Linked DNA regions of Kluyveromyces lactis. The protein of the gene in region 7 binds, or shares a complex with, the protein of the main gene of each other region. Links are inferred from orthologs where the notes say so. Each region holds a gene or a part of one and is shown on either strand. Other genes may lie near its edges. The genes, in order: POM34, NIC96, GLE1, ASM4, NDC1, NUP82 and NUP49.

What was found.
Region 1: NUP49 (region 7) and POM34 share a complex: the UniProt entries of both Saccharomyces cerevisiae proteins name them as parts of the nuclear pore complex. The link is inferred for Kluyveromyces lactis from reciprocal best matches to the Saccharomyces cerevisiae genes NUP49 and POM34.
Region 2: NUP49 (region 7) and NIC96 share a complex: the UniProt entries of both Saccharomyces cerevisiae proteins name them as parts of the nuclear pore complex. The link is inferred for Kluyveromyces lactis from reciprocal best matches to the Saccharomyces cerevisiae genes NUP49 and NIC96.
Region 3: NUP49 (region 7) and GLE1 share a complex: the UniProt entries of both Saccharomyces cerevisiae proteins name them as parts of the nuclear pore complex. The link is inferred for Kluyveromyces lactis from reciprocal best matches to the Saccharomyces cerevisiae genes NUP49 and GLE1.
Region 4: NUP49 (region 7) and ASM4 share a complex: the UniProt entries of both Saccharomyces cerevisiae proteins name them as parts of the nuclear pore complex. The link is inferred for Kluyveromyces lactis from reciprocal best matches to the Saccharomyces cerevisiae genes NUP49 and ASM4.
Region 5: NUP49 (region 7) and NDC1 share a complex: the UniProt entries of both Saccharomyces cerevisiae proteins name them as parts of the nuclear pore complex. The link is inferred for Kluyveromyces lactis from reciprocal best matches to the Saccharomyces cerevisiae genes NUP49 and NDC1.
Region 6: NUP49 (region 7) and NUP82 share a complex: the UniProt entries of both Saccharomyces cerevisiae proteins name them as parts of the nuclear pore complex. The link is inferred for Kluyveromyces lactis from reciprocal best matches to the Saccharomyces cerevisiae genes NUP49 and NUP82.

Annotation. Positions count from the first base shown.
Region 1 is NC_006042.1:1,442,398-1,445,242, reverse strand, and holds POM34 (Pom34p), read right to left. Parts: upstream 1,689-2,845; coding exon 501-1,688; downstream 1-500. Other genes in the region: MEU1 (S-methyl-5-thioadenosine phosphorylase), read left to right, coding at 1-355; PSR1 (phosphatase), read left to right, coding at 2,439-2,845. UniProt on the Saccharomyces cerevisiae protein: Functions as a component of the nuclear pore complex (NPC).
Region 2 is NC_006041.1:1,253,996-1,258,121, forward strand, and holds NIC96 (linker nucleoporin NIC96), read right to left. Parts: upstream 2,801-4,126; coding exon 218-2,800; downstream 1-217. Other genes in the region: PDH1 (putative 2-methylcitrate dehydratase), read right to left, coding at 3,309-4,126. UniProt on the Saccharomyces cerevisiae protein: Functions as a component of the nuclear pore complex (NPC).
Region 3 is NC_006039.1:1,325,351-1,328,641, forward strand, and holds GLE1 (nucleoporin GLE1), read right to left. Parts: upstream 2,136-3,291; coding exon 501-2,135; downstream 1-500. Other genes in the region: FMN1 (riboflavin kinase), read right to left, coding at 1-121; MRPL7 (mitochondrial 54S ribosomal protein uL5m), read left to right, coding at 2,576-3,291. UniProt on the Saccharomyces cerevisiae protein: Functions as a component of the nuclear pore complex (NPC).
Region 4 is NC_006042.1:687,782-690,765, forward strand, and holds ASM4 (FG-nucleoporin ASM4), read right to left. Parts: upstream 1,746-2,984; coding exon 501-1,745; downstream 1-500. Other genes in the region: NUR1 (Nur1p), read left to right, coding at 1-391; LUC7 (Luc7p), read right to left, coding at 2,005-2,775. UniProt on the Saccharomyces cerevisiae protein: Functions as a component of the nuclear pore complex (NPC).
Region 5 is NC_006038.1:139,184-142,820, reverse strand, and holds NDC1 (Ndc1p), read left to right. Parts: upstream 1-1,316; coding exon 1,317-3,137; downstream 3,138-3,637. Other genes in the region: recombinase RAD52, read right to left, coding at 1-408. UniProt on the Saccharomyces cerevisiae protein: Functions as a component of the nuclear pore complex (NPC) and the spindle pole body (SPB), probably by playing a key role in de novo assembly and insertion of both structures in the nuclear envelope.
Region 6 is NC_006042.1:156,109-160,088, forward strand, and holds NUP82 (linker nucleoporin NUP82), read right to left. Parts: upstream 2,565-3,980; coding exon 501-2,564; downstream 1-500. Other genes in the region: SDH8 (Sdh8p), read left to right, coding at 1-354; MRPL37 (mitochondrial 54S ribosomal protein mL54), read right to left, coding at 2,859-3,155; mannose-ethanolamine phosphotransferase LAS21, read right to left, coding at 3,361-3,980. UniProt on the Saccharomyces cerevisiae protein: Functions as a component of the nuclear pore complex (NPC).
Region 7 is NC_006042.1:2,088,976-2,092,003, forward strand, and holds NUP49 (FG-nucleoporin NUP49), read right to left. Parts: upstream 1,719-3,028; coding exon 501-1,718; downstream 1-500. Other genes in the region: chromatin-binding exonuclease XRN1, read left to right, coding at 2,260-3,028. UniProt on the Saccharomyces cerevisiae protein: Functions as a component of the nuclear pore complex (NPC).

The DNA.
Region 1 (2,845 bases), about 650 kb from region 7:
CCGTCTGATGGGTGGAGATGTCATCAACATGAGTGTGATCCCTGAAGCGAAATTGGCTCGTGAATGTGAAATTCTATACCAGATGGTTTGTATGTCTACCGATTATGATGCATGGAGAGACGAAGAAGAACCAGTGTCTGTACAAACTGTTATCCGTAATTTACAGAACAATGCCAAAAATGCTAACCATTTGGCATCCCGGGTCATTTTAGAAATGGCAAAGCAACTTCCTGAATTTATGAACAACGGTGATGGTCTAAAGGATGCCATGAAGTACTCCATTTCAACAAAACCTGAAGCCATGTCTCAAGATGCCTTGGCCAAGCTAAAGTTTCTATTCCCAAACCATTGGTAACGCTGTAAATTTCTCTTCTATAAACTTTATAAACTATACGCGGTAGGTAGCCATGTAAGTAATAACATTCTTATCATAACTGCTATCAGAGGTTCGAAACCAAAAGAAGAAGAAAAAGAATCGTTCTCCGAAGTACGCATGCTTTTCAGCGCTTCTTCATCGCACTTGGTGAGTCCATCATATAAGTATACCGGTTGCTTGGAATATATCCGGGACGAGTGTCTGGCTGTGAGCGTGTCGATGTGAATAAAGTTGTAGGAGTATTGGAGACATTTGTTATGTGATCGACACCAAAGGCGTTTACTTTCTTCGGTTGTAAAGAGAAAGATACATGATTTTTTTTCACTTCTGCTTGCTGAAGGGTATTCAACTCACGCATTTTCATTGGAGTCTGTAAAGATTTGAATATGAAAGGCTTGTGGCTGGATTTTGATTCTGCTTCATTTAAGGATTTCACTTTAGAGTTACCTATATTAATTGAAGGATCAAAGGATCTACCATAGTCGGGGGTGCTTTCCACAACCCCTAACAAGCGTTTTTGATTCTCGGTTAGATGCAAATCTGATATGTCCGTATTTTGTGCTTTTATCAGCAAGTTCCAAAGACACGATGCAATGTTAAAAATGACAATAGTATGGAATATACTGGTTGCAAATTGCCAAGAAAGCATTTGGAACCAAAATGAATTGATGTTGGCATGTGGGTTAATCTTATAAACAACGTTTTTCAATACGAAAAGATACAGTTCGTCTCGAAGTTGGGATCCCCTTTTAGTGAATTGGAAGAATAATGACACGAATTTGTATATGAGATTCCAAATCATTGCCAACACTACATTAGTCAACAACCTTCTCATCTCCAACTCTTTATTAACCATACGAGATGTGAAAGCAGCCAACGCCGGGTTTTCGAAATCAGTCAATTTATCATATGCGGAATCTTCGGAAAAGTTCAAATCCGTTTGTTGTTTCTGTCCCACCGGTTCGTCCGGTAGCAGATCAGAATTTGTCACTGGTGCGGTATCTTGCTGTGTAGAATATGCCTGGTTACTTTTTCCTCGAAAAACAGGGGATGCGGTATGTGTATTAGTTGATGCTGAAGGTTTCGCGTCAAATCTGCCAGAGAACGCAGATGCAGCAAACACAGAGGAAGAATCTGACTTGGAAACATCAGTCTTGCTGGTAGGATCACTCAATACCTTGTGTTTATACAATGCAGGCGACTGTTTGATAGCTTTTTCCCTTAAGGATTGAAATTGCTGCTGGCTCAAAGGCCTATTGGGAGTCTGAAAAGTCTTGGCCGGTGTGCCAGGCGCAGAAATTCCATTATCCATTGCTACTCTCACCTTTTTCCTTTATATATCTTGATCCCTGTATTTACGGGGTAAACTCTCGATCAATTACCACAGTAAAAACACCACTAATATCAGGATATGAAACTTACCGTATCCAGGTAAAAACTGAACGATTCTTATTTATTAACATTGAAGAACTAGCTGTGTTTTTAGTAGTTAAACTAAGAAGTGAATCTTCAAGCCGGCCTCTATCTCTTTCAAGTGAAAAACATCTCGTTACCCGCACCATCTTGTGCCAGGGAAAAGAAAAAATTCTTTTTGCTTCGTTTGGTTCGTTCTTTAAGTTTTGATGTTCTGTTCAGCATGGAAAAACCAGAAACAGTCAACTTTTGCAGATTAAACAATTTTGAGAATAGAACATTGGTCATTGACTAACTCTCTTATTTTAACTGCAACTTAATTTTTTTTGGAGGCCATTTACAGAAGGGCAGTAAAGTCTTGAAAAGTACCGGGATTTGTCAGTGTACGGGTACTATATCAAGGGGCCAGTGGTTTCAGGGAGCCTGATTGGTTTGTGTATTTAGGTTTTTTTTGTTTGCTATCTTTCTTTGCTTAGATAGAAAGAAAGAACATATATTAATAACAGTATCAATCCGTTTGAAAAACCAATCTGATTAATATCGGTTATCCATTTTTTTTGGGCTCAGTGTGTGATTTTTGGTTTCTCTCACTCGCTCAGTGTCTCGATTTATTTATAGGTCGCTGTTGATTTTGTTAGGAATAAAAGTGATGGGATTCATTGCATCTTTATTGTGTGGTTCAAGCGATTCGGATAGCTCTAGGAAACAGAAGGGTAGGAATTCATCGTCAAGTAACAATAGTAATAAAGGTTCTAGTGGGTCAAGCTCGGAGAAAAGTAAGAGCAAGAATACGCTAAGTGCAAAGAAGAGTGGACGTCCAGGGGTTGCTGCGACTCATTCAAGACAATCAGAAATTCATACTACGTTATCCAATTCTACAGCCAAGATGCATCTGAAAAAGAAAAATGCGGCGAACAAGCATAGCTCAACTGTAGCGGCTGTTGCAAGTGCGCCTGTTGAGAAGAGTCCGCTGTCGAAGAATACGGCTGCTGTTAGTAATAACGATACTGATAGTGATGTCGTTGACGTTGACATGGTTGGAGAGGAAGATGACGA
Region 2 (4,126 bases), on a different chromosome or scaffold from region 7:
TTCTTGTACATTTCGTTGCATCTTCTACTCACTACAACAATGCACTGCTGAAAAGGTAATTGGCAGTTCAAATGTATATATATACATATGCATATATAATCTATCAGGCAATTATATCGAATAACAATCGACTTACACATGGTTATTTTATTGTATGCTATTATGGTAGGACGTCTGGGTTCTGACATAACTCAGGTGCTCATAAATGAGAGCTCTGCTACAAACCAACTTCTATATTGATTAATATGCTGTAAGTTTCTCTTGGCATTTTGTATTGAATCATACCAGCATAAATCATACAATTTTTAGCAACACGTTTGAGAGAATCGATTTGCTGCTTTTTAGTCAAAGATTGGTAATCACTTTCGTTCAACTGCTTTATGATGTTAGAAATGCATAGCATTGTAATTATCAACAGGTTAGGTATGTTCTTTAATATATTCTCATCCAAATGTGTAAATTCTTGTGCTCTTTTTCTGGTCGAGCTTTCATCCGTGAACGGAATTAAATCGAGATCTTCAATCTGTTGTAGGGTGTTTTGCCATTGGCGTGCTAGGAATGATGCTCTTATATCAGCTAGTTTCAACAAGACAATACATGTTTCTTTGTTTCTTGCCTGAACCTTTTTAGAGATTTCGATGTTGTTGATGTACACTTCGATTAACTTCTTTGCCATTAAGACGTAATTCGTTTCGCTGTTGTCATTCAACCTAAAGAGGGATTGATTGAGGTCAGTGCTACTTAGAAGTTCTCCCAATAACTTGTTGATAATGGACATAACAATGTCATATTCTTCTGATAACTGGTACAACAACAAACTATCATGAATTCTTCTTTCTTCATCAGCCCTACGAGCAGCCTGTTCGGTAATCTTATACAAAAAGTCCTTCTGGTCCTCAAGCTGTAATAATGGGCGTCTTTCTTCAACTACACCGGGGATCCTAATTCCTTCAGAGTTGATCTTTCCGAGAAGTATGGTGAACTCTTTAGTTTCCAAGATCAATTCCCTGAGTGCCTCATACGCCCATTCAATCTGCTCTTTCTCATTCACTAGTGCGATGAGAATTAGATATTCGACAGCTATTCTTGGATCAGAGTACTTGAACGACTTTGTGTAATTTCCTAATACCTTAACAAAGTTTATCCTTGTTTGGCCATCATTCACGGAGATCAACTCATCCTTTTTATAAGATGACACATGTAACATGCCATTTGCCGCTAGACCAATTGCCAAGTGAACAGCATCGATTTCATTTATTTTGTATGAGTACTGTACTGCTAGTTCATATTGTCCGCTTAACAAAAGGGCCTGTAGATAATAGTTTTTAAACATGTACTCACCGTAAGAGACAACAGTATGTTGGAAATCGCTGAGGGTATACCTTTCATATACTGGATCATCCATATCCATATCATCTTTGATTAACATCAAGTGAATCCATAACCAATCTTCCACGCTTAGAGTAATAGAAGAGATATTCTTCCTTGTCAAATCACATCTGCCAATAATTTTGTAGACCGCCAAACGGAACGGATCGCTGTCCAAAGTGTTTTTGATATGCTGGTTATATTCTGTATGCAACCTTGAGACAAATTCCTGTGGAAGACGATGATCAGGAGACGTTACATAAGCTTTGAAGTATGTTAGGAAAGATTGCTCCACTTTTTTGAAACTCAATTTGTTGTTAACAACTACTTCTAGCGCGTCCTGCGGTAAACCAGCCCTTAGCAAATAAAAAATCAAGGCCCATACGGGAATTCCATTCACAATCGTAAGATTGTTAAATTTCCAAGTATTTTCACCAGTCTTCAGTTTGAGGTCAATAAATGCTCTAATTTTGTTAACATTGGTCGGTAAACCTTCGCTTGGATTCTTTGAATACAAATTGTCAACATAGCTCAAGAACTGGTTTTCTAGGTATTTTTTGGAAAACTCAACAATATTTGGGGATTGATTTGTTGCATTATCTATAATCTCCCAACCGTCAAGTAGCTGTCTATACTTCGAGTCGGTCGTATTCTGAAAGATGGCAATGAACTCTTTGGTTAATTGAAAATCGTCATTATGTGATTGTCTTGAATTGTTAAACCTGTAAATAATTTTGGCATATTTCTCAAACTTTTCTCTAAGGATGTGATTTCCATTGACATTTGAATTTAAATCACCATCCAAGATACCACTACCAGGTGGTTTCCCCCAAAATATTGGACCGTTGGGATCCAAAGGAGCCAAATTAGTCGTATCGTAGTTAGAACTATCCTGACGTTTCTTGACTAGGATCCCAAAGCTTTCTCTTACTTCATCTTTCCTTTGCTTCCAATCTAGGTTGAAGTTCTGATTAATGAAATTATCAAAATCCTTCGCTGCTAAAGACAATGATTGTTCAATGGAGGAAAGGATATTCTCATCCTTCTTAATATGTAAATAAGTGTCCAAATCACCATCGTTATAGCCTTGTGCAACCCGTTGTTCGGTTAACAACTCTGATGACTTAAGATTCTTCAAGGAACTCTCAATTTCGTGAAATTCAAGTCCACTTCCTGCTAAGAGATAATGAGCTTTTGTATGATTGGAATCGTGAGGAATTGTCTTACGCATCTCCTGTGCCCTCTTTTTCATCTCATTGACACTCAATAAGATAGCTCCAAGGTCAGATGAAGTAGAAGGTAAGTTCTTTGACGTTTCTAAAAGCTCATTGAATAATTTCGATGAGCTCTTAGACGTGGAGCCACTAGTCTTTGCATCGTTTTGAAATGCAGATAGCATTGTATCACTGCTGATTTGACTGTTGATATTCATAGTTCCACGATTGTGTGGATTTTACAATTCCAAAATCTGAACGGGTTAAAGATAATTTGATGCGATGGATAGCAACAATGTGTATTGATTTTCAAAGTATCTTCAATGAATTATTTCCATCATCTATTCAACGTATTGATAGTTTACATTTTCTTTTATTGTTTTCTGTCTAATTTTTTTTAACTACAATGTTTTGCACCGTTACCCGAACATGTGACGGGACAAAAAAATGGACAGCCAGAAATTGATCATGACAGTAATTAATATTAAAACATAAGTATGTATGTATTAACTCAAGAGAAAATAAGTTAATTATATATTGTAATCTGGAATTGATGATTGCCAGAATCTTTTGATTCCTGTGGTCAGTTTTTGTAGAATAGAAAATGTTGTTTTGGTTACCATTGAAATGTAGGTTTTACTTCGTTTAGTTCAAAAAAAGAGTTGAATGAAATGAAAAATTGATTGTGGTCGTTATACGTTGATGATGCTGTGCGAAGGACAAAGCTTAATCGCAGTACATGTTGACATATTCATCAACAGTTAAGTTTAAGAAACCGTCATCTGTACTTGCTTCCATTAAAGCTTCCACCTTTTCAATATCGCCGGCGAAATGTTCACGCAAATGGTGGTAGAATTTCTGCATCAATAGTGGGACACCTTCCTTTCTTCTTAGTCTGTGACCGATTGGATATTCTACGACCACTTCATCTAAGACAGTCCCATCATTCAATTCTACTAACAAAGCGTTTGGGATTGATCTCTTTGATGGATCATGATAATCCAAAGTGAATTGGTCATCTTTAGTACAATACATCTTAGCTCTCAATTCGTCAATTTCAGGGTTGCTTGCTACTTCATCACTGTAATCGTCAGCCGTTAGTCTACCGTAAATTAATGGAATAGCAGTCATGTATTGAATACAATGATCTCTGTCAGCATAATTGTACAATGGACCCTCCTTGTCAATAATTCTCACAGCGGCTTCTTGAGTTCTAATTCTGACCTTTTTAATGTCTTTGTAAGTTTTGCCCAACTCTGCCAACTGTTTATTCACCTTAATAGCTGCTTCCACTGCCGTTTGAGCATGGAATTCTGCTGGGAACGATATCTTGAAAAGAACGTTTTCCATCACATAAGAACCGAAAGTGTCCCTTTGCTGGAAGGTGAATGGTTTACCTTTGAAAAGAACGTCATAAAAACCCCATGTCTTAGCGGTTAGTACGGAAGGAATTGTACCTGGACTTCCATTCTTCACCAAATATGCAATGTTGACAGCTCTTGCCACTGCGTCACCGGCAGCCCAAGATTTCCTGGAACCAGTAT
Region 3 (3,291 bases), on a different chromosome or scaffold from region 7:
TAGGAATTCCTAACTCTGCTGATCCACGACCGAAACCAGCTATTACATCGACGAACGATGTGGTAATTGGAAAAGGAGGTTCAGGTGAATCCGGTATCGAAACGTCACAATGCCTTGTCATTGCTCTAGGTCTTACTGCGAGTTTTTGATGATCCGATCGTTATTCGTTTGTATGATAACCACATGGAAGTATTCACAAGATTCAAACTACGTTTTTAAAGGTTCGAACTCTTTGAGTATAAAGACTGTTGCAAGTAAGAATAAGAAAGAAAAGGGTAAATGGGCACGTGAAAATGGGTTCATGGTTTGTTCAACAGTTGCGGAGTATTTCTAGGCAATGAGGTACGCTCTCTCTCTGGAAATATTTGAATCCTCATTATTAAAGTTTTATGAGAACATAAGGCATATACTATGCCCTGAACACATGATGAAAACGAAGATCTGAAGGTATACATACATATATATATATATATATATTTTACTAGAGAAAACTCTAGCCGTTATGCTGCCATATCTGGGAATGATGATATTTGATTTGTATTATGCCATTCCTCGTTAATAATGCGGAGTCTTGCTGCACCAACGAATTTTTTGTCAGCAACAAGTGCAGTTAAATCAATCGAAATAACTTCAAGTAGTTTTGTTGCCTGAACGTTGTATGCTTGGAGCAATTGTGCTGCCGCAGCCTCCCACCAGTAGGCAAGAACGACGAAGTGTGTATTTGTAAGTAGATCCTTTGGAGTGTTGCCGATTCTAGCTAGCATTCTCCATGACCAAGAGATTGGGAAAGGATGCACAAGTTTCTGAATGTACGTTTGCGGTAGAGGTAATCTTGTGATGACAGCAAACAAGGTAATCATACCACCCATCCTTTCATCATATGAAATATCTTCTTCCCATCTGTTGTCACTTTGACGTTTCCATCCCATTCTGGTTCTTCCTTCGACTGTGTCTATGCTGCACGTGTAACCGATAACAAACGGACATTTCTTGATGAGTCTCGCCAGTAAGAACTCTTTGAGTTCCGGGTATGATGCAAGAAGACTTAGCGCAAGTGTTCCTAAAGGCAAAGCGCTTTCAGGTTTCACTCTGGCCTCAGATTCTGCTTGGGAAACAATCGCCTTAGCTATAAAGTTTAGAATCCATTTATAGGCTAATTGGTTAGCCTTCGTTTGAAGTACCAGTTCGGTAAGTTCATTGGTGATTGCATTCAATTGTGCAGTACTGTTGGTTAATTGTCCGAATTTTGGATTAATTTTCCTCTTATGTTGTGCTAAAGTTTTCTTCAAGGTGGGATCCGCCTTCACCGGTTCAATTATTTCTGTTTTAATTGTCTGAATCATGGTTTTGTATTTAGTAAAAGTTTCTTCGATTAACTTGAAATTTGTAGATTCTTTGGACTGTTTAAGTTTATTCCTCTCCAGTTGTTCTTGTTCTTGCTTCTTTTTCAGGGCTTCTACTCTCTTCGCTTCTTCAGCTTTCTTCTCCTTTTCTGCCATTTCTTGAATCTTCCGTTTCTCTTCCTCCTTCAACTTCTTTTCCATCTCCTTTTTATGCTTCAATTCTTCTTGTCTGCGCTTCTCCGCTTCGCATTCTTTCTGGATACGTGCTTCCTCTTCCCTCTTCTTTTTATCCTTTATGCTTTTAATTAAACGTTGATTCACCTTTTCAATTGAATCAATTTCCTCATTCCACACAGATTCAAGCACCTGGTCTTGCATAGGAAAGGTGTGTTGTTCCACCTCGTCAATCAAATCCTTCTTCTCTTGGTAATAAAGTTCTGCTTCGTCAATAAGAACAGGGCCTAAAGCTTTATTCTCGTGACCTCTCGTTGTAAGATGCGGTAGTGCATTCCTTTCAAGAGTGATATTTAAGTTGGAAAGCATTGAAACTATTTCTGGTTCTACCACATCCTCTAAAGAAATTGTATCTCCTGAACTAAACCCTTGCTCTTCACCTTGGCCGTCATTCTTTGAAGAATGGTATAATTTCGGTAGTTTTAACTGGATCCCATCAGATGGATCGCCAATATACGTAAACTCCCCGTCTAATTCATAGTCAGAATCACTGCTGCTGGTATTCTGACTCTGTTTCCGTTCAGCATTCTCGTACAATTCGTCAAATGAGAACCTCATCTCAATTGTCCTGATATGTGTCAATCGCTTTCTTTACTTTATCAAATCGGTAAAAAGCTCAATTCAAGTAAACGATTCGGGGTTAAGTTCGACTGTTATTACCTAAATGGAGAATCCAGCTACGTGTCTTTAAGTACGGGATCAAAAAAAAACGGCTGCAATGCATCAACACAAGGGCTGAAAGGTCAACACTCTCTATAATCATCAACTGAGCTCTACCTGGTTTTTAATCAAATTTCACTTTTTGTTGATTCTTGTCACGTGACGTATATTGAATTCTCTGTACTTGAAAGTTTTAAAAATTTTTCGACCTTTCGAGCTAAAGCTGTAAGATAATGATAGAGATTTGATCAGTTTCACTCGATTTAAAGCAGTATTCCTTCCCATTCGTAGGTTTATACATTCATTCGTTCGCATCTGTGAGAAGATACCAAGTGATAATGCAAGTGGTACGTGGTTTCCACAGTAGTTCAAAGGTCTCCAAAGCTGCTTGTGCTTTGGTTAAGCCAGTGCATCATTTGGTTAAGATCGACAAGAGCAAGCTATCCCCAAGGTTTCCTGAATTGAAATATAGTAAAAACGATATTAGATCTCCAGCATTCAAGCCTGTTGTTACACATCAAGACCGTGTTCGTGAGCATTATTATAATACTTTACAAAGCGATTTATTATTGATAAATTATTCCCACAAAAGCCAAACGAAGCTCGGGTTGAAGCAAAGAGAATGGGACGGTTCTTCTCCATATCACATTAACAGAGAACCCAGAAAACCTAAGGGCTCAAGTGCTCAATTGCCAGATATTCATCCAGTAACGTGGAAGAACATTCCAGACATCGAGTCCGTTGTTATTAACTGTTACGTCAGAGATGCAAAAGAGAACCAATATCTACCAATTTCAGCAGCATTACAATTGCAACAAATTACCGGGTGTAAACCAAAGGCTTTGTTCTCTAGGAATGATGTTCCGGCCTGGAAGGTCAGAAGAGGTACCCAAATGGGTGCTGTCATTACATTGAAAGGTCGTCCAATGTCTCAGTTCTTATCCACTTTGACTGAAATTGTACTACCAAGAATCAGAGAATACAAAGGTATCTCCAACAAGTCAGGTAACAGATTTGGTGGGTTATCATTTGGTATGACCAGCGATGAAGTCAG
Region 4 (2,984 bases), about 1.4 Mb from region 7:
TCGCTATTCTCATCTTCAAAGTGGTAATACACCTTCCGCTCCCTCCACGCCACTTCTAATACCATCTCAACAACCTCATTTCGATCATTCCATGTTGGCCAATGCATCTAGAAATCATAATATAAGTGAGAGAAGAAACTCTCATAGTCCTATTAAACAACACTTTGCAAATAGGTTACTAAACTATCCGGATGAAACAAATGATAGCATACCCGATGTGTCTGATGACAGATTCAGAATGGATGATCGTTTCAGAAGAGGCAGACAAGGCTATTTCAATCGATCTCCCGACATCAATTCTGGTACGTTACATTACGATGATGGTGATGATGATGATAACCGTATATCAAAGTCTCCCTTTCGGAATTCATCGTCTTCACCATTTCGGTAGTTATTCACTCAAATACTCACATTCATTGAAGTTTGGTGCACTGGAATTTCTTGAGGTATCCGTAAATTATATAAACATAATACATCTCTAATTACTAAAGACAATGAGACTATAGGTCGTTCCACCCGAATAACCAATTGTTGACCCTTCCAATTAAATTTGTTGGTTGTTGGTTATTCCCATGCTGTTCCTGTTCTCGTAACTTGTTCTCCAAATTTCTTAAAAAGTTTGGACCACCATGAGGAGGGTTTGCATTATGCACAAACAACTGCTTTCCATCTTTGACATCCAATTTCCGAGTAGAAAAGGTGAACCCATGTTTATTATTATCAGCACTTTCTTGTGTCCCATTTTGTATATCAGATGATTCAGGTCCGTTTGGTTTCATCGATAAACTGAACGGGATTTCTCCGATGTCATCAGTTTTATCGATTTTGCACGAAGCCAATTGTTCTACGGCTGTTTTGCTATAAGGAACGCAGCCAATTAAACAACCTCCATAAACGGTACCATTCTCTTGTAGAGCTCTCAGAGCGGCACTAGGGGAGTCATACGTGATTTTAATCCATCCATCGCCCGTGAAGATAGGATATTTCTTATGAGGAATTTTAGAGTCCTTATTTTGAGCACGAATTCTAATAGTAGCACTGGATATGTTGTTACCTGTAACACCTCTTAGAACCTCAAGGTCCTCTAAAATATTTCCGAATTTTGAGAAATGTAATATTATTTGGTTTGAAATGGATTCTGGATATCCAAATACAATTACTGCGCTCTCTTGCGATTTTTGTCTTGATATATCATTTGTTTGATCCGCTGTCGGTTTTACAGGGGATTTCGACGCATCTCTGTCGAATGCGTTTCTTGTGCTCTTAGTGTATTCTTGAGTCAAAGGTATTTGGTTAGACGAAGGCATTGCGTTCACGTTAGTGGGGACAGACCCGAACTCATCCTCTCGTTGCCAATCATATAACGATTTTGTTGGGGGAGCTTCATTCGATTCCACATAAGTCGCGATATCAGTAGGTTGTGCAGGCTGCGTAGAGCTGAATGTTGGCTTCTTTGTGCCAAACTGGACGCTATTGAATCCGGATCTTTGGGAAGAGTTGTCATTCGAAGATCCATCTCCAGATGAGCTCGGTTTAGACGATCTTTTTATCACGGATTGTGGAATGTTTCTCTTTCTAGCTATATTATACCAGTTTTCTTCCTTTCCATTCGTGGCAGAGCTCTGTACTAGTGATTGTGAACTATTCTGCTGTTGTTGGTTTTGCTGCTGCTGCTGAGGATAATTTATTTGCAAGTTTGCAAACCTGTTCTCTTGTTGCGCTTGTTGGCCAAATACTGAACTCATGATTTAGGATTGTCAGTTCGCTTTCTCAACAATGTTTCAACAGTCAAAAATGATCAATTTATCCTACTTGAAATTGAAGAACACACCAAACCACAGTGTTACCGGTGCATATGAACATGCTACGATGATAACAGCTATTCTCATCTAATCTTATTCTTGATGTTTATTAGTTGAAATTGTTTTATTTCAATTAGAATACTCAAATCCGGGTAATGTTTGCCATTATGAACAGCTTCAGTGTATGTGTAAATTTATACATTCACGATCGATAAGATTTACCTCTATATACTGCTTTTTGATGTCTCCTTGTTTGCGGGAGATATGTGTGAAGATCTGTCCCTTGTTCGTGCAATCTCTTTTTTACCATGTCAAGTTCTTTACGCATAGTTACGTATCCTAGATGGAGTTTGCCCATGAAATGGTCAGCGAGTCTTCTATCCGTGTCTAATCTTGAAAGGTAGGCTCCACATACACGGCATACCTGTAGCTTCTGTTGTGCACTTTGGCCTGTGTTTTCGTTCATTTGCCTGCATTTTTCGCTGAGTGTGTCCCTTTCTGTTTGCAGTTTGTTATATTTACAGCTTTGAATCATCGCCTTCATAACTTCTTCGTTTTGTATAAGCATATCGATTTCTGAAAGCATTAAAGCACATTTGGATTCAAGCTGATTCACTGCTTGTAGAAGTGCTGCTAATTTCGAATGTTCCTCATGATGCTGTAACTTTTTATGTGCCATTTCAATTTGAACATCACAATCACTAAGAATCTTCTTCAAGATGGAGTAATGCTCAAGGTCAAACTCAGGATATTTCTTGCCCTTCTTTACATCTCTTTCATATTGCATTTTATGCGAGACTGAATGTATACGTGGACAATGCCCCATGGGCTGCTTGGTCTCTTGGAAAAGGTCATAGGGGCAATGACCAATGATAAATGATTTGCACGTTGATGGTGAAGTTAGCCCATGCGATGTGGCAGCCGAAGACATAAGCTGAGAAATCAGCTTGCGCTGTTCTAAAATTGCAGACATTTCTCACTTACAAATATCTCTGATGGAAGTAACACCAAACTGTTGCGTGCAGTTTGGACTCTGTGATTAACTTTTTCTGCTCTGTTGGTCAGTTCAACAATGATACTTCTTCAGTACGCCTTTTCAAGTAGCTTGTTGAAAATGCCAGGTTTAAATTCTGACGACAAAATATACTGAAAATAAATATATAATAACACAAGCAAAACATG
Region 5 (3,637 bases), on a different chromosome or scaffold from region 7:
AGCGTTTCCGAACCCTCTTAACGATCTTTTCAACGCATCTGTCACTGCAGATTTCTTGGCACGCTCGAAAGCGCTGGCTTTCCTCCGTTCATTTTCCACGGTTCCATACCCAATATCCTCTCTGAACGTTCCATCGGCTAACGAAACACGAACAATAGCGGTGCATCCAATACTAAATCGACCTTGCCTTTCGTCAAGGAAATCTATAGTGACATTTTTAACCTCCGTAGACCATCCGTCATACCCAAAAATCTGGTTTGCTAGATTGATTGCTTTCCAGCCTTCGATATATGCTACTCTACTGGATCCAAATCCTACTCTCTTTGAAATATATTCTGGTCCTAGCTTCTTATCTAACTTCGTTTGAATGTCATCTTTACCATTCTTGCCACTTCCTGTATCCTCCATATCTAACAAACTGCAAAAAGGAAAATTGATGCGAGTCGCACTAATATACCAATCCACAAAATCTTCTACCAGTTAAAGACACAAGCAAGGTGGTATCCTGTCCAATTCAACAGCGCAAAATCGTTAACTGTTTGACCTAGTTTGTTTAAGTTTTAGTTTATCAATACAGTAAATTTGAAAAAAGTAAACAGAGCAGTAGCTTAAATCACGTAAACTTGAAAAAGATCTGTTTCTATCGGTATTAAAAGACGCGAGAGCCATGTAAATTGAAAGGAGTTTTGAAAGGATGGCAATGAAACTTAACATTATCATTATAGGATTGGCAGTACCTGTGCTGTCATAGAAGTACTTACATTGGTCATGAAAGTGGCGACGCAAATCATTCTAATATTTTCAGTACTCTATGAGTGACCTTGTATATATTTGTATATATCTTTTGGACAAGAATATCAACTTTTAAGCGTTAAAGTTGACACGAGACCATTGTTACAAGAAAGAGAAAGAGAATATGACACATATTTAGTTGATTTACTTATTTACATGTAACAACTGTTTACGATATCATCAGGTTCGCGTTTAGCGTCTATATGTTGAGACTGACCTCACTGACAAGGAGGTGATTGTCTTTAGTTTCGAGTTACCATGCAAATCAACTATGACATTGGCATAAGAGGGTTACCCGAATATCTAATTTTTTTATGACGCCTGATCTCTAGATCACAACCTGTTAAGAACTTAAAATGCTTGAGATGATATACAAATAAATAATATAAGTAACTCGGAAGGTAATTGATTGTCCTAAAGTCCAATTGACCTTTGTCTGTTTTAAGCATCTAAAATTACTCAGCTTATTGCTATACAGGCTGTACTTTTACCTGTGTTCATCTTTGATTGGTTTGTTTTCATTGATGTCTTACGTGCAGAGTTTAGGACCGGTTGCACCGCAACTGCGTGATTCTCGTTTTACTTACCATCGGATATTCAGTGGGGTATGCAAGAGCAGGTTTAATAATTTCGCCAGGGGTTTACTCTTCAAAACAGCGGTACTTGTCGGTTTAATTACAACCATTACGACACAATGGGAGTTGTCGAAATCTCAGAAATTACTGTTATGGCCAGTAAAAATATTATCTTTCTATGTTGCAATGTTGATGCTAATTATTACCAGGAAAAACTATCTTCATGTCAATTACCTTGGATATACGAGCTGGATAAGCGCATCATATGGCCAATTAGTCTCCCGTAAATGGATCACGTACCTTTTAGTTTACGTTGTGAGCGCATTCTTCCTTTCTTTGACATTTTCCTGTTGCTTTTTCACTCCAGGTACTGGTTCAAGAAAGCATTCACAGCATTACGAATTTTGTTGTCAGTTTATGGTACCTTTTTTGTATTCCATCCAACATGTACTTTTAGATCTTGACAGACTTACTTTCAACTACGGTGCTCAACATCAACATCCTCAGAAGTTTATGGCTTCAAGAATCCATGATTCATTTTTGAAGTGTCTTGTGTTAACTGCAATACTCTTTCTAATTACTCCAATTCTATTAAAGCTTTTATTCGGACATCTAGGCTCTGGTATATGGTCCCATATTAGGATTTGTTGTATATGCTTGTTAATCTTGCAAACATGGGACTTTACAAACATTGGCTTCGACGCCTTTCTATCAATTGGTTGCTTGCATAAAGGTAAACCAATCTCTTCGTTATCTCCAGCTTCAATGGAGACATTGATCACTGGGTTGAGATCAGAAAAATTATTTGTTAAACTTACTGCATTCCAAGAGCTGGCCTACAGAGCCACTTGTGCAAATGTGGAGTTGAGGCTCCCAATTTACCACAATACCTATAGAAATAGCTTGATCTGGCCCGGTATACTTAGAGAATGTATGATTGTTATTCAAGAAACCAACTATAACGTATCCGATTTCTTGCTTACATTGAAGAAAGAGATTGATCCCCAGCCTACAAAACCATCTTTCCCTATCAATAGATCGGTAGATCATTTATTCGGTACCAACCATACTGTCAGAAAACAAAATAATGATGAGGATTCCAGATTACCTGGTGCTCCTCCTACTGAACAAATAAATTCGGATCTACCATCAATGGCTTCACATAGAATCGTTTTAGAGGACAGCAATGTTTTCAAAAACAACGATACCCAAAGAAGTCCGAATCCTCCGAGATTTATCGACTCATACAAACAAGCAATTTTTACCAGACAACCTACAGTACTTTCTGTTTTGACTGATCTTTGGAATTGGATACAGAGAAGAATCAGTCAGTACTTTTTCACCATCGATTCAACTGATAACACGAACAAGAAGCTCTCATTGTTTGAACTTTACCATATATCAAAAGTAAGGGAAGCTGAGAAGTTGTGTCCTGTGCCAGTATGCTATGCCGAGTGTGTGTATTCGATGATGGGTTTTATAGTAAATTCTGTGGATGAAGATCCCAAAGGAGCTGTCGTATCTTCAGTCGGCGAAGTATTAAAAATTTTGGAAAGATCTATTGGCTCTTTAGGTTCGTTTACTGAATTAATATTGGATGGAAAACAAGAAAAGGATTTGAATGATGTCATAAGTGTGTTGTATGACTTATGTATCAATGCATTTTTGGAAATAGTTTTGAAGTATGACACTCTCCTTAACGATGTTTATTTGGACGAAGATGTCGTGAAGTTAACACAGTGGTTGCAAAAAATGTCACAAGATATTTAAACATAGCTTGGCATCAATTGGATTATTCCCAACAGAAGCATGTTACTCTAATAATATTCAAAAGTTATATTGCTTTCATTATAAAAGAGAAGAAATCTACCCCAAACTTCTGGTATGTTATAGGAAGATGTTACATGTACTGAACAAGCGAGCGGAGAATACTTGCTTCTTATTCCAGAAGTCGGAATTATTCATGAAATGTTTTTATTTTCCATTAACCTTCACTAGATCATAATGACCATTGAGGTTAGTATTTGAGTTACAGCAGAACTTTTGTTATAACAAACTTATTTTAGCATTACGTATGAATAAAATACAAACCAAAGCATACAAACGTTATCTTCATTTTTACAAAAAGGTCATTACGTATTTAAAAAGACTTTTTCCATCGGTTTATCAATTCATCGATCCGCACTAGCTTTTCGTGCACAATTAACGTTTCTCGCCAACCGTAAGTCTTATAAATTTAATAGCAACGTCTGTAGTATCTGCTCAAGAAG
Region 6 (3,980 bases), about 1.9 Mb from region 7:
CTAAGACCAGCCTTTGTCAGGTTGAATCAAATTAGAACATTTCAAGAAAGAAGAGCAGGTCCACCACCATTACCAAAGGAAGACCAGGAAGAGTTTGAAAGGCTGCAGAAGCTAGCGTCTTCTCAAGAAGCTATTGATTCTTATAATGCACAGTTTGAATCGGATCATACTATGGAATCGGTGAAATCGCCAATCTTGAAGAACGATATTGGTGGGTTTTCTCCAGAATTTATGAAGACTATACCAGAGTTCGAAGGCGAAAAGAATCCTAAAACAGGAGAAATTGGTGGACCAAAGCAGGATCCATTAAGGCATGGTGATTATTCTTTCAACGGAAGAGTCACCGATTTTTGAGCGCCATTCACACGTTAAAACAAAATTCGGTTAGTAGCATATTCACATAATGAAATGATATAAAAAGTAGCACATAATATAGTAAGGTATATGCCAGTTTTAAAACTAAAAACGAAAAAAAAAAGATATGTAGATGGTGATTGCTATTATACCGCTAGATCTTCAATGGATGCGCTTAACTCATTCATACAAGAATTGATGACCTTTTTGTCGTTCAGTAACATTTGTTGTAGGGAACTAAATTCTAGCTCGGAAAAGAAATCGTCTCCTTTAGTAGTTGATCTAAGCTGTGTGTCCAAAAACTCTAGTTCTTCGCGAAGTTTGTTTGTCAGATGTACATAGTTATTGAACTTTAATACCTGGTTTTTGATACTTTTGAACCACACTAGTTCGGCCTCGCTGATACTGCTTGTTCTTAATTTCTCGTTATTTTCTATACTGGAGAATGTCTCTTTTAACTTGTCAAGTCGTTTTTCCAACGTCTTGGACTTTTCCTCATACCTGGAATATCTTTCTTGGAGGTCTCCCAAGTTTCCGTTAAGTTTATTTCTCAACATTTCGATCTCGTTGGTTTTTCTTAATTGGCGATGGAGTTCAGCCACTTCTTCGTTGGATTTGTTGAACATTCTAAATAAAATCATCTGTCCCAACTTGACGCGCTTCATGGTTTCCTTGTAAAGTTCAGAAACCACTTCCAATTGACGTTCATTGGAATTGTTCTTCAAAGGGAGAGGAGCCAAAGAGTCCGGTATGCCTGAAATGAATCCATTGGCTTCTGTTTTATACTTCGTCAAAAGCATATCCAATTCCTTTCCAGACGTTGGCAACGATGGTTTATATGTATATTTCACTTCATCGGTTCTGTTTATGGGTTTCTGTGTGGTGCTCTTGTCGTTACTCTCGATGACCTTGAAGGAATTGCCGTTGTAAAGAATATCACCAGACAAGGTAGATAAAACACCGAGGAAAGTTCCTGAAACTGTTCTTATTTTATTTTCAAACTTAACATCATCAATGATAGAGAAGTCATGAAGCCTTATGCACTGTGCCAATGGTTCCAACCATGGCATTTCCATGATAGTCGTGGAGCTATCACCAGTAAATACTAATTTAGGTTCCGAGGAGTTTAGTAGTTGGCATTGACCTTTTGCATTGAACATTGTTATTACACTAAGGTTATTGAATGTAGTATTGGAGCGTAAACTCCAACTCATGACAATTTCAGAATCGGAGAACAACACAACGTTTGTTCCATCTATAAATTGAAGATTCAAAAGGCCCAAACGTTCTCCAACCGGTATGATTGTCAAGCCTGTGACCTCTTTCGCATTCAAAGCTGTCGGAAATTTTTTTATAATGAACGGGCCCTGTGGTACAGAGTTCCTGATTGCTTTGCTCGTGAATGTGTCTATACCATCATTTTTTTTATAGTTGTCGAAAAATTGAATTTGTTTCAATAGATCATGCTTTAAGGTGAGGTAATCGGATTCCACATCAGGATCTGAACCTGATATCAGCTTTAGCTGTTTATCGAGGCTATTGTATAAAGACAATGATTTGTGCAACATGTAATCCGCTAAAGAACCATTTTTCGTCCTTGATGTGACATTTGATGTATCATTACTGCGTAGGGAAAAATTCTTTGGTAGACACGGATGGATAGCATATATGTCACAGTAATTGAAGGAGCTCAGCAGATAAAGTGTCAAACCGGTTGGATCAAATGCAATGTCACAAACTGATTCCACATGGTCTGATAACCCAAATGATCTCGATTTACGATTGAAAACAGTGATAGATTCGGGTTCTAGGTCTTCAAGATCATAAATTCGAATTGTACTATCATCATGCAAAATAACGAAAGATAACCCATAAGTAGCCAGAGGATGCCATAATAGTTTTTTTATCCCTAGACTGGTATTGAAATGCTTTCTTAATCTAGATTGCTCATTCACTTCCATGACATAGAGCTCGCTGTTCGCATGAAATGCTACAAGGCCCCCCGACGGACTGATGACCATTTGTTCTGGAACGAATGGAAGCTCCACATTATAACTCCTGTATTGCGTTTCGTGGTCTGATTGCACTCTTAAGATGTTGTCCTGCCATAAATAAATAGTGTTGGAATTGTTGCAGACAAGACGGTCGGAAGGGTTCAGAGACACTTCCTGGAAGATTGCCTTCAAATCTTCTGTATTGAAGAGTAACATCCCACTATATTGGTTCAATATCCGGCAGTTAAAGTTATGGAAGAGAAGGTACCACAGTTAGATCGCCAGTTGATCTGTGTTACGTGTATTTCAAGAAGCGTGAGAGTAGTTCATCGTCGATATATTTTGAATATTTTGAACTTTAATAGTAAAAAAAAAAAAATACCTATAGCAGATCCAGTATTGCAGAAAAGGAAGTGTACGAAAGATATCAAAAAGTTATGTTAGATATGTGTCTTTATGTCATTTTTATATGTATATATATTTACAGGCGTGAATCATACTGTGGGTCCGTTAAATCTTTGCTAAGAAGTTATTTTGTTTGATGTTGGCACGGTTGGCTATCCTTAATTGTTTTTTTCTTAGCTTGATTGGATCAGCTGCTAGTTTTTCAGCTTGGACGTTGGCATCAAGCACTGTCCAGAGCCATTCAGGGTATTCGCTGTCTTCTAATGCCACGGGTTCCTTACCGGATTTCTTGATTTGTAAGTTCAATGGAGTGCCAGCTGGACATGATGACACGATCTTGGCAGCTTGGCCAGATGCCTCGCTTTTCACTTGGTTAAATAGCACGCGAGTCACTCTCAACATTTCTCTCTTTATATAATATGAAAAATAACCGATTTGTTATGGTGGGTATGTGGTTGCCGATACCAATTCGAACCTCAACAATAAGTTTTGGCAAGTTTGTCCTGCCTTGCGGCTATCAAAGTTCATGATCATTTACAGTCCAATTTGAATTTCTATGGTACAAAATGTTGATTTTATCGAAATTTTTCATTCAAAAACTAAGAATTCACAAAACGCCAAGCAGGGTAATGGCGAAATCCATGACGACATTATAGAGGGACCAGGCCGCGTAGTAGCATAGTTTCGGGCTAAACACGGACCAAATGAATAGGTGGTACCTTAGTGCAATGCACGCTATCATTAGACATGTTCCGGTGATATAGTAATGCTGCAAGCGTAGTGTCTTCTGTTTGTAGCTTTGAGGAATTAGTGAGAGAGCCCAGTAGATGGATGGTGCGTAGTTAGACAAGAACATTAATACACCAACAACGTATATGTTATAGTTGCTACTAACACCATTGTATGCATTAGTTAGATTGACAGTTGCAATGGAGTTCGTACCACCAAATTGGAAAAAAGTGAGGTTTTGTAGACATAATGAGAAAATTGGTGTGATGTCCGGTGTGACGCTAGTCAGTATTTCAAATATTAGAAACAATGGGATATTTGCAGATGAAGTTTGGAGCAACAAGACGAATTTTATAACACTCAGTAGTTTGTTTAACATATTGGTGCTTTTATTCAAGGCGTATTTCATGAAAAGAAGGATTATAATAGATACACCACATATTTGGAAGAAAATCCGAGCGATAGGCACTAAACATTGTGAAATATCTGATTCTGTAG
Region 7 (3,028 bases):
TTAATCAAAAAAAAAATCTCCTAGCTCCTTGATTTTACGCCTGAAGCTTGATCTACAATAAGTTTATACTGACAGAATTAATACTAAAATGTCACACTTAATATGTCTCTGATATTCCAATAATGATAGTTAGTTGCCAGCAACGTTCTAAAATTCTTATCAGTCCTATATATATTTCTTGAGTATAATCACAAAACCAGGACGCCTTTCCTTTGTTCTTTGTTTCACATTTTCGTTTCCGGGAAAACTGTTACTCCTTGTTAACCATTTTTTAATCCTTATTCCTTTTATATTTGTCGTATCAAATTCCCTTTTTTCACAACTCATTGACCTAAATAAGGAAGGGAAGATAAAGGGAGCCTGAGAAGAGAAGACTGCGAAGAGACAAGTGGCAGATGCGGTGCAGGTGCAGTGCATGTGCAGGAGTTAGTGATCTGCATCAATAGGTAATATGTTCTTGAACGCTTTCTTTTTTTATAGTATTAAAAGAATAATATCGACTATTTAACTATTATTTCTTTACACTTCTGATGCAGTTCTGCTATTCTTTCAGCTGTATCCATGAATAGTTTGAACTCTTCGATTAGAACGCTGACGATAATGTTAACACCGACCTTGGTATCATCATCTTCGGATGAATCGTTCCCAAAGAGATCATTCTCTAGACCTGACACTGCGTCGTCAATATTGCTTAGAGTGTCGTTGTAGTCATTTAATTTGTGTTTGTATGTGATTAATTTTTCCTGGAAGAACTTATCTATCTCAACGTTTGATATTTTGAATCCCTTACTGACTAGTTGTTGCAACATTATAGCAAAATTTTCCAATTGTTTAACATCTTTATCCACTAGTGTCTTGATGGCATCGATTCGTTTCAAATCTGATGATAGTGATCTTGTTGCGTTGAAATGCAATTTTTGTAGATACTTGATGTCACGAGGGATTGAATCCAATAGTTCAGTTTGATCTTGTAGATCAGCTTCAAGATGTTTGGATAAAGACACTTGCGTTCTAATGAATTGGTCCAATTGTTCGATTTCTTGACGAATTTGAATCGGAAGCTCCGATATCTTGGTCATCGGCGTGATAGCTAATTGGTTAATGAAATTAATGGCACTCTGTTGAGTCTGTTGTATCTGTTGTTGTGGTGGCTGTTGAAATTGATTTTGTGTTTGTCCAAACATTCCTAAACCAGATTGTTGGGATTGCTGTTGTTGATTTCCGAATGGGCCTCCGGTAGTTGGTTTGGATCCAAACAATCCTCCACCAGTTGCAGAGCCTCCGAAACCGGTAGTCTGTGGTTGTGCTGGTTTGGATCCAAATAATCCTCCTCCAGTTCCAGAGCTTCCAAAACCAGTGGTCTGTGGTTGTGCTGACTTATTCCCGAATAAGCCTCCGCCAGACCCGGCTCCTGAGTTACCAAATAGGCCACCTGTGGAGCCAGTGGCTGTATTATTAGAACTTCCGAAAAGTCCTCCTGCGGTTTGGTTCGTATTGTTGTTGGTGCCTGCTGGATTACTGCCAAATAATCCTCCGCCAGTCTGTGTCGCTGTATTGTTATTGTTTCCAAATAACCCTCCTCCAGTGTTACCTGATGTGGCATTGTTATTACCAAAAAGACCACCGCTAGTGCTTTGCTGGTTGCCCGTATTCCCAAATAATCCTCCTCCTGTGCTTGGTCCTACTGGAGGACCTGTAGAAGAAGAACGGCCAAACATTTCGTTTCTATCAGTAATAAGAGTATTAGATATTTACACGCCGTAAATTCAGTTAATTCAACTTACTGTTCAGTATCAATTGGTGTCTCAATTCTGCTCTCTCCATCTTTCTTTTTAACCTCATCTGTTTACTTTCTCAGTTTCCATATTCAAAATGTTTTCAACTCTTCCATCAAAGAGTATAAAACAAGAAAAAAAAGCTTGAACTTATGGATCCGGGTAACCCATAAACCTCGTCTCAAAAAATTTTGCCACCACCAAGAAAAATATTCCGATTGAACATTGGAAAGAATTACCAAATTACCTTAACGATTATGTTACTAAACAGTAGCTTTGGTTAATGTACTTTCAGGGTCTTTCATCCATATCAGGGTATATTATAACAATTCACTAAAAGTGGTTACTCATTGTTCGGCAACGTATACTACTGGTACTATCCAATCCCAGTTGTTGTTGATCTTTTCTATTGTTGGAGGAAAAAAGTCAGTAAAGCAAACCTCAGAAAGTGTTCAATTAATTACGGTTTGTGGCTTAACTAAAAATGGGTATTCCAAAATTCTTTCATTTCATCTCTGAGAGATGGCCTCAAATTTCTCAATTGATCGATGGATCACAGATTCCAGAGTTCGACAATTTGTACTTGGATATGAATTCTATTTTGCATAATTGTACGCATGGTGATGGTAGCGAGGTGAATTCAAGACTATCAGAGGAAGAAGTTTATTCCAAAATTTTCAGTTATATTGATCATCTTTTCCATACTATTAAACCAAAACAGACATTTTATATGGCAATCGATGGTGTGGCCCCAAGAGCAAAGATGAACCAACAAAGAGCTCGTAGATTCAGAACTGCCATGGATGCCGAAAAGGCTTTGCAGAAGGCCATTGAAAATGGTGACGAGTTGCCTAAGGGAGAGCCATTTGATTCCAACGCTATTACCCCAGGAACAGAATTTATGGCAAAATTAACCGAGAATTTGAAATATTTCATCCATGACAAGATCACCAACGATACCAGATGGCAGAACGTGAAGGTTATTTTCTCCGGGCATGAGGTTCCTGGTGAAGGTGAACATAAGATCATGGATTACATCAGAGCAATTAGAGCACAAGAGGATTACAATCCAAATACAAGACATTGTATCTACGGGTTAGATGCTGATTTGATCATCCTAGGTTTATCCACCCATGATCACCACTTTTGTTTATTAAGAGAAGAAGTTACTTTTGGTAAACGTTCGTCTTCTGTGAAAACTCTAGAAACACAGAACTTCTTCTTGTTGCATTTGTCTATCTTGAGAGAATATT